2 linked regions of the Cricetulus griseus genome follow. The protein of the gene in region 1 interacts with the protein of each later gene in a pairwise test. Links are inferred from orthologs where the notes say so. Each region holds a gene or a part of one and is shown in the gene's direction. Other genes may lie near its edges. The genes, in order: Ric8a and Efemp1.

The links.
Region 2: the proteins of Ric8a (region 1) and Efemp1 interact in binary tests that used the Homo sapiens proteins (3 or more experiments, as listed by UniProt). The link is inferred for Cricetulus griseus from reciprocal best matches to the Homo sapiens genes RIC8A and EFEMP1.

Annotation. Positions count from the first base shown.
Region 1 is NC_048596.1:60,341,291-60,345,742, reverse strand, and holds the start of Ric8a (synembryn-A), read left to right. Parts: upstream 1-1,535; 5' UTR 1,536-1,588; coding exon 1,589-1,672; intron 1,673-1,968; coding exon 1,969-2,016; intron 2,017-2,104; coding exon 2,105-2,695; intron 2,696-2,996; coding exon 2,997-3,088; intron 3,089-3,549; coding exon 3,550-3,700; intron 3,701-4,452. Other genes in the region: Bet1l (BET1-like protein), read right to left, coding at 263-524.
Region 2 is NW_023276807.1:78,378,869-78,382,680, reverse strand, and holds part of Efemp1 (EGF-containing fibulin-like extracellular matrix protein 1), read left to right. Parts: intron 1-1,660; coding exon 1,661-1,783; intron 1,784-3,812. UniProt on the Homo sapiens protein: Binds EGFR, the EGF receptor, inducing EGFR autophosphorylation and the activation of downstream signaling pathways. May play a role in cell adhesion and migration. May function as a negative regulator of chondrocyte differentiation.

The DNA of each region.
Region 1 (4,452 bases):
ATACCGAACAGAGGCACCGAGAGGCCCCGTCATCGGTAAAATCCTACTTGGACCCTGTGCTTCAAGCTCCTGGCACCAACCACAGACAAAATTGATGTCATGCCCAGGCTTGGGTCCCAAGGCGGCGCCAGCCGCAGTCTGTCTCTGCTTTTCCTGGAATACGTAAGCGCCACCCCCCACTAAGGTTCCCTCCACCGAGAATAGAGCGATGGCTCCAGCTCTGGACTTCACTTCCTATCCCCCTACCCTCGGATGCCCTCACCGCGAGTCCAATCAGCCATCTCGCCCTCCAGAGCCCCACTCTGGGACACCGCAGCACAGCGACGGACGTGGCACCGGCTCCTGGAAGAGGCTTCCGGTTCCGCCTCAGGTATAATAACTTCCGGGAGAAGGGACTGGAGCGGAAGAAACAAAAATGAAGTTGTTCCATGGAATGTAAATAAGGGAAGGGCGGGCCGCCTGCGTTCGTGCCCGCGGATTGGCCAGCAATAGTAGTCCCGAGATGTGGGTGGTACCCGGAGCATGAGCTCGGGCACAAACCGGGAGCTGAGGCTGGAAACCGGCTCGGTAAAGCTGCCGGATGCCTCGGGCGCTGCGGAAGCCCGAGTGTGAGAACTACAAGATGCGGAGGACGGACAGAACTGAAGGAGACTGGCGAAGGAGACGCCAGGGCCTGACACCGAGCAGGCGCAGGGCACGCGCCGGTTAGCTCAGCGGGTGGCAGATCATCCGCTGGAGCATGGCTTGTGTGTCACCGCGAGGTACACTCTCACCGACCATGCCTCCAGCCACGCGGAGTGCGGACCCGGCTCCCCAGCCACCCACCCTCTACCCAGCGTTGGAACGCCTCTCACACTGACGGGCCGCGGCTGGCCGCCCCTCCATTGCCCCTCCCATGGGAGTGGCTTTCTCCGGGTGGTTTTCGCTTCCCTCTGACCCTTCCTCATACACTGGGACTTTCTTTTTCCTTTGATGGCCACATTGTTTTTGATGGTTCGGTCTTTCGTTTGTTTTAAGGACGGTCTCACTATGTATCCCTGTCTGGCCTAGAACTCACAGATCTGCCTGCTTCTGCTTCTCGGGTGCTGGGATAAAGGCGTGCGCCACCTCGCCGAGCTATCCGCTTTATTTTGACCACCCGAGTCGTTGTGTTTGTCTTTCCCGCGGAGCATGAGCTTCAGGGTCTGGACCGTGGGGCTCCAGCTGACTAAGCGACCAGAAGATAGTGCTCCCTTCATCTCTCTCCCTGTTCCCTGACCGGTGCGTAAGGAGGGCGGTCCATGCGGGGGCCGAGACCCCACCTCCACGCCCCACGCCTGCTAGAGAGGAGGGAGAAAAGGGGGGCGAGGGGATGCTACTTGGCTAGCTAGCGCCGCTGTTCCAAGACGAGCCGCTCGGCGATCGCGGCCAGGTGGGCTCCACCTTAAACCGGAGGCCCGCCCCACGCCTGTGCACACCCTTTCTGCTCGGCTGTGCTCCCGGCATCCCTCACGCGTGGACTCGGGGCTTCCGGACCTGGGCGGAGCCCGCGGGTTTGGCCGATTGCGTCTTCCCAGCCCAAGCCTTCCAGCACCCGGTGCCAGGGGCCATGGAGCCCCGGGCAGTTGCGGATGCTTTGGAGACGGGAGAGGAAGACACAGTGACAGAAGCTCTGCAGTCGTTCAACCGGGAGGTGAGAGGCACCCGGCTGCTGAGGAAATTTCTTGGAGAGAGGAAGCAGTGGTGTGCGCGCAGCGCGGCCGGGGTGTGCGTGCGAGTGTGGCAGGGAGCACGGCCTTGGGAGGCGGGCTGGGCCTCGGGGGTTTCAGTGGTGGGGCAGGTGTAGGGGAAGCGAGGGTGGTGGGCCCTGCCTTGCGTTCAGAGCAATGGCTGCTGCCTCAGAGGTAAAAGCAGACCGGCTGCCCTGACTCGAGGAGCACAGGTCCTACCTGCGCGTGGACTTGAGCCTACTGGGTCTCCTCCCTGCAGCACTCCCAGAGCTTCACCTTCGATGATGCCCAACAGGAGGACAGGAAGGTAGGTGCCATCCCAAGGGGCTCCTAGGGCAGGCATGGGCTGCCCCAAGAAGAGGGACTGGTGGATCCACTTTTGTCCCTCCCCACAGAGACTCGCAAAGCTGCTGGTCTCCTTACTGGAGCAGGGCTTGTCACCGTCACACCGTGTCACCTGGCTGCAGACTATCCGAATCCTAACCCGAGACCGCAGCTGCCTGGACTCATTTGCCAGCCGCCAGAGCCTCCATGCACTAGCCTGCTATGCTGACATCACCATCTCAGAGGAGCCCATCCCACAGCCCCCAGACATGGATGTCTTACTCGAGTCTCTCAAATGCCTGTGCAATCTCGTGCTCAGCAGCCCCGCAGCGCAGATGCTAGCAGCAGAGGCTCGCCTGGTGGTGAGGCTAGTGGAGCGTGTGGGACTGTACCGCAAAAGGAGCTATCCCCACGAAGTCCAGTTCTTTGACCTGAGGCTCCTTTTCCTGCTAACTGCCCTTCGCACTGATGTGCGCCAGCAACTGTTTCAGGAGCTGCACGGTGTGCGCCTGCTGACTGAGGCGCTGGAACTGACGCTGGGGGTGGGCCCCAAAGAAAAACCCCCGGTGGTACTTCCGGCCCAAGAGACAGAGCGGGCCATGGAGATCCTCAAAGTGCTCTTTAACATCACCTTTGACTCTGTCAAGAGGGAGGTGGATGAGGTAAGTTGTAGCCTGAAGTCATGGGTGGGACTCAGCTCAGCTGGGACAGTTTTGTGGTTTTGCTTCCTTCCTGCCTCAACTTCCTGGGTGCCAGACATGGCAAGGATAATGGGACATCAAGGCAGGGAATCCAAGGAAGGTTTCTGAGCTGTGTTGTGGGGGTGTGTTTGTGGGAAGGCTTTAGGTGGCCAAAGGTCACCAACTGTGCTGTGGACAAAGCCAAGTGATCAGCTCCATGTGGCCCTGGAGCACTGGAACAGGGGACTCCTCCTTACAGGAGCCATTTTCTGTCTTTGGTTAGGAAGATGCTGCCCTTTACCGGTACCTGGGGACCCTTCTGCGGCACTGTGTGATGGTTGCTGCTGCTGGAGACCGCACAGAGGAGTTCCACGGGTAAGGGGCAGGACTTACCGTGTGTTGACAGTGGGGAGAGTACTTAGGCATGGGTACCCTAGTCCTCAGCCCTAGGTGTCAGTAGAAGCACCAGGTCCCACCGTAAGAGTATGACTGTCAGAGGGATGGGAAACCAGAGTGTTCCCAGAGAGCCCCAGGAACTCAGAATATGACTAGGGGAAGAGCTAAGGTGGAAACAATGGTGGCCCTGGCATTGTAAGGCAATGGTGTTCCTGCTGGTGGTGACCAATAAGTACCTCACCTGACTTGGTATCTCAGCTCAGACAGAATGGGACAGGCAGAAGTTTGTCTCCCCACCAAACTTGAATGGAGTACTACCTGCCCTTGCCTCTAGTCCTCGGTGCTGTCCTCAGTCCCCCATATCATGTATACCCCAGGAGAGGAGCCGGGGATTACTTCTGTGCTAGAGTTACTCTGTCAAGGCCTCTGTCTGTCCCCAGCCACACGGTGAATCTCCTGGGAAACTTGCCCCTCAAATGTTTGGATGTCCTTCTCGCCCTGGAGCTACACGAAGGATCCTTAGAGTTTATGGGAGTCAATATGGAAGTGATCAGTGCCCTTCTTGCCTTCCTAGAGAAGCGTCTGCACCAGGTAGGTGGAGGACCTGCTATGTTGTGGCTTCCATTTCTGCACCAGGGAGAGAGGTCAGCTTGAAGGTATAACTTGGACAGTTTCTCTGGTTGCTCTGTGGCCCCACCAGAGATAGCTATTCAGTCAGACCCTCTCCGAAGCTTGTGGATACAGCTTGTGTGTGGACCTCAATGCTGCTGATTCCCAAAGAAAAGCAGGCTTCTCAGGGTCTGCCAAGGTGAATGTTGTCTTTTAGGTCTCTGCAGTTCCCTGTTAAGTGATTCTCAGAAGCCTTTGGTTCCTGCTTCCCTAATGTTCCCATACATTGGCAGCCATAGGTGACAGCATTAGTTGTCCTGCATCTTTTGTTTTTTGTTTTTTATTTTTTATTTTGGTTTTTCAAGACAGGTTTTCTCTGTGTAGCCCTGGCTGTCGTGGAACTCACTCTGCAGATCAGGCTGACCTCAAACTCAGAGATCAGCCTGTCTCTGCCTCCCAAGTACTAGGATTAAAGGAATGACCCCAACCCCCACCTCCACCCCCACCCCCGTTGTCCCTCTGCATCTTAAGGAGACATAACCAAGGGTTACCTGACACCTACAGTTATAATATGGGACCAGAGAGCTGGTGATCTAGCCTATCCTGTGGAGCTCACACAGATGAAAGCCATAGATAGAGGTTCATTAGATCTCCGAGGAGCCATAGGGTGCTCAGCACCTATGAGCTGGGTGAGGACAAAGAAGCTAGTGTTGAATATGCTAGCTGTGACTGCC
Region 2 (3,812 bases), on another chromosome or scaffold:
CACTCTGTGCTAAATTGGAAAACAGCATCACAGTGATAGCATTAATGCATTTCAGAACAACAGAAAACCTTATTAGTGTTTTAAAACCAGGTTCCAAGAATTATGTGTCAAAGAAAGCCTTACTAGGTTTTATCACTGGTCCATCTTCATCCTCCTTCCCTCTTTTTCTGTATAGAGTCTCTGTTATTGCTCCCACACCCGGCTACGTGCAGGGTTATCTCAGAATGGCCCTCTTATGAAATGAAGAGCTTACTTTATGACACTACATGCAACAATTCAATTTTCCCAGAAAAATCAAAAGCAAAATAACACAAAGGGCCACTCTCTGCTGTAGATAGAAAACAGAAAGCATAGTTGATTCTCATTGTTGAGAATTAATTTCTTTTCATTGATTCTCTACCCACAACCCTGAGTCTACCACAGTGATGATCTAAGATCCCTTCCCCAGCAAGTCTATCTGGTTCCATCCAAAAAAAAATAGTCATCTAGAAATTACTCATTTTATGACATTTTTATTAAAGCTTACTCTTCAGTTGTTAGAGAATACCAAAACTATGTAGCCCCCTTTTAAAATCTAACTTCCTGATGGATATGTGATTTTTTTAATGACTGTGAATGATGTAGATAAGGGAAAATGAATTCCACCTACAAGTAACTAAATTCCTACCACACTTCAGTGAGGAACAAACTCTTGAAGCTGGCTTTCTTTGGTAAGTTCACCTCTTTTCTAGAACTTTGACTTGCCTCCTACTGAAGACACATGTAGCAATTATTCCCAGAAGTAAAATGTCTTAGAAAGCTATGTATTTTGACCTATACTAACATCTCTCCTAGAAGAATAAGATCAAATTGATGCTTTTCATTTTGAGTTTTACACTTGTGTTAGTCTACCATTTGAGAAAAATATGCCCAAAACAGCAACAGAGAATATGTAATAGTAAGGCTTAAGAAATTCTCTTAAATACGAAACAATTTTATTGCCAAAGTAGGAGTTGTGCAATCTAACTCTCTCTCTCTCTCTCTCTCTCTCTCTCTGTGTGTGTGTGTGTGTGTGTGTGTGTGTGTGTGTGTGTGTGTGTGTGTACATGCACATGCTACTAGTGATCAAACCTAGGGCATTACACATACAGGAAAGTGTTCTACTGATGAGTTATATTGTAGTCTCATTTTACTTACAGCTTTGAGATAGAGTCTAAGTTGTCAAGGCTAGACTTGAATTTCCTCTGTAGCCCAGGCTACACTTAAATTGGAGATCCTCCTGCCTTAACCTTCCAAGGATCTGTTATTTATTCTCATAGGCATATCTCTGTCTAATAAAGTATAAAACTGTCTCAGGAAAGTATCCATGCCTACTTGGAAAGTGATAAGTGATAGATAAAAGGAAGAAGATGGATTAAGGCTTTAACTGTAGCTGAAAGCAGCTAAAGGGCTAAGACAGGCATGAAAATTGTTAGGACATCTTAAATCTCAGGTGTACATACTATAGTTCTGAAATTATTTTGTAGGCATTTGCATTTTAAATGTCTCCAACATAACATATTATAATGCTTTTTAATAATAAAGTAAAATTCAGTTTATGAAAAATGAAGTGGCGAATGAAGAAAGCCTCCATATCTTCACAAACAACTGGAATTCTTTCTATATTGCATGTCTTTCTCAGATATCGATGAGTGCACCTCAGGGACCCACAATTGTAGAGAAGATCAAGTGTGCATCAATTTACGTGGCTCCTTCACATGCCAGTGTCTTCCGGGGTATCAGAAGAGAGGAGAGCAGTGTGTGGGTAAGTCCCTGGTATAGTATTAAGACTCCTGTCTTGAGAAACTTTAGGCAACAAAACAAAGCCCTCCCACTTGATTGAAGAATGATAGCTAGCAACTGCTTCCTCTTCCAAGGACGACCAATATAGTTTCTGACTGCCAACAGGAACCTTAAGGTTGAGCCTACCCTGAATACTAAAGTACTATAGACTAAGTGAAAGCAAAAATCTAGTCTGATTGGAACTATAAAAACAATTAAGAACTAAATAAATTAGGAGTTAACTAATTAGGGGTTGTGTCACTAACATACTGTTGACAGGTGCTTCACTTGCCACTACACAGAGGAACATGGTGCATGAGAAAGATGCTGAGGTCAAATGCCCCCTCTACCACAACTGTCATTTGAATCTATGACTATTTAGGTTACTCTGTATCACTATAGTCATTTGTCCTATAGAAGCAGCACTAGTTCCAACTCAGGAGCTCATAGATGCCAATAGTTAGCACATGTGTGGTCTTGTGCCATGTGGCTGGCTGGGATCATCAGGTAGAGTTAACATAGTCTAAAGTAATGGTTCTCAACATTCCTAATGCTGTGATCCTTTAATACAGTTGCTCATATTGTGGTGACCCCCAACCATAAAATTATTTTGTTGCTGTCTCATAACTATAATTTTTCTACTGTTATAAATTGTAATATAAATATCTGATATACGGGTATCTGATATACAAAGGAATCATGACCCACAGGTAGAAAACCACTGCTCTAAAGCCTCTTTACATTGCAAGTCTTTGATGATGACAGGAGACCTCCCTGAGGTCTAGGACCATGTCAGCTTGTGTCGGTGCTGATGCCACAGTACCCACAAAGTGCCCAGGTGGTAAATTGTCTGCATACATTCTGAATGAATGGAAGAACACAATTTGAGGGCTGGCCTGCAGTGAAGTAAAACAGCTCTCTGGCTCAATCAAGAGGCCTAGCAGAAGTCATGAACCTCTAGGATTGGCTCCCTCTGCCCATCTGTTTACATACCTAACCCTTTACCACAGACCAGTGGGAAGGCCAGATTTTCTGTTAGGAGCCAAGAGTGAGGGTTTGGGGACAGGCAGCCAGCATCAACTTCTACCTGAGAATGTGAGCTGTTGACATAAGAATGTCAGCACTCAGCTCTTTGTAGACCATGGCTGGCTCTGCCTGCCATGGGTTGTGTCTAGGTGCTGGAATGGGTGCCCAGACTCAAGGAAGAACCAGGGTTTGTAATGCTGGAAGCTATGACACAGAGCAAGAGCACTGGAAAACTCCACAGATGCCAAAGCTATGCTCTTTGGGTTAGTCAGGAAAATAAACACTGAGGGCCTAAAAGAACAGTAGTAACACGCTCCACTGCTGGGAGAATTGAAGACAAAGGAACATAGAGAGACAGCCTTTATGGGAAGGGAAGTGGAAAGCAGAACTCATATCTCATCATGTGTGTGTTGATGTTGCCCTCGCCCACAAAAGTAGCTCTACATTCCTCAGTAGAACATAAATAGGGTTTCCTCATCATTTTGATTGCATCAGTACCCTTCCTCCCAAGATGTATCACAGCTTCTTCTCACTGATTATGGTTCTGTGCCACACATTTATACACATTCTTTCCAGAACATTGAGACACTCCCTTACAAAACCCCATTTCATTATCAAATCCCAACCCAGAGTCACCTCCCCTAGGAGCTAGGATCTATCCAAATATAACTAGTCACTTCTTCTCCCTACCAATTAAGATGAAGTAGATCTTTTTTGAAAATTTCCAATCTCTTGAAGTCTGATATTTATATAAACTATAAGGAAAGTGTTGTGCTGGTTTCAATTGCCATGGCTAAACATGTACTCTGAGTTTTGGTACTTGTTATGGATTGACCCAGTCCTCCATGGACCACCACAGTCAGCAGGCCACTGAGCTGCTTACTGTCTCTGTCCCTTGTACACCTTTCTATTATTGATCTTCGAATTCTGTGGAGTAACATGTTTATGCCTGTATCCTGTGACAGACAAATGTAGATTATATGTTC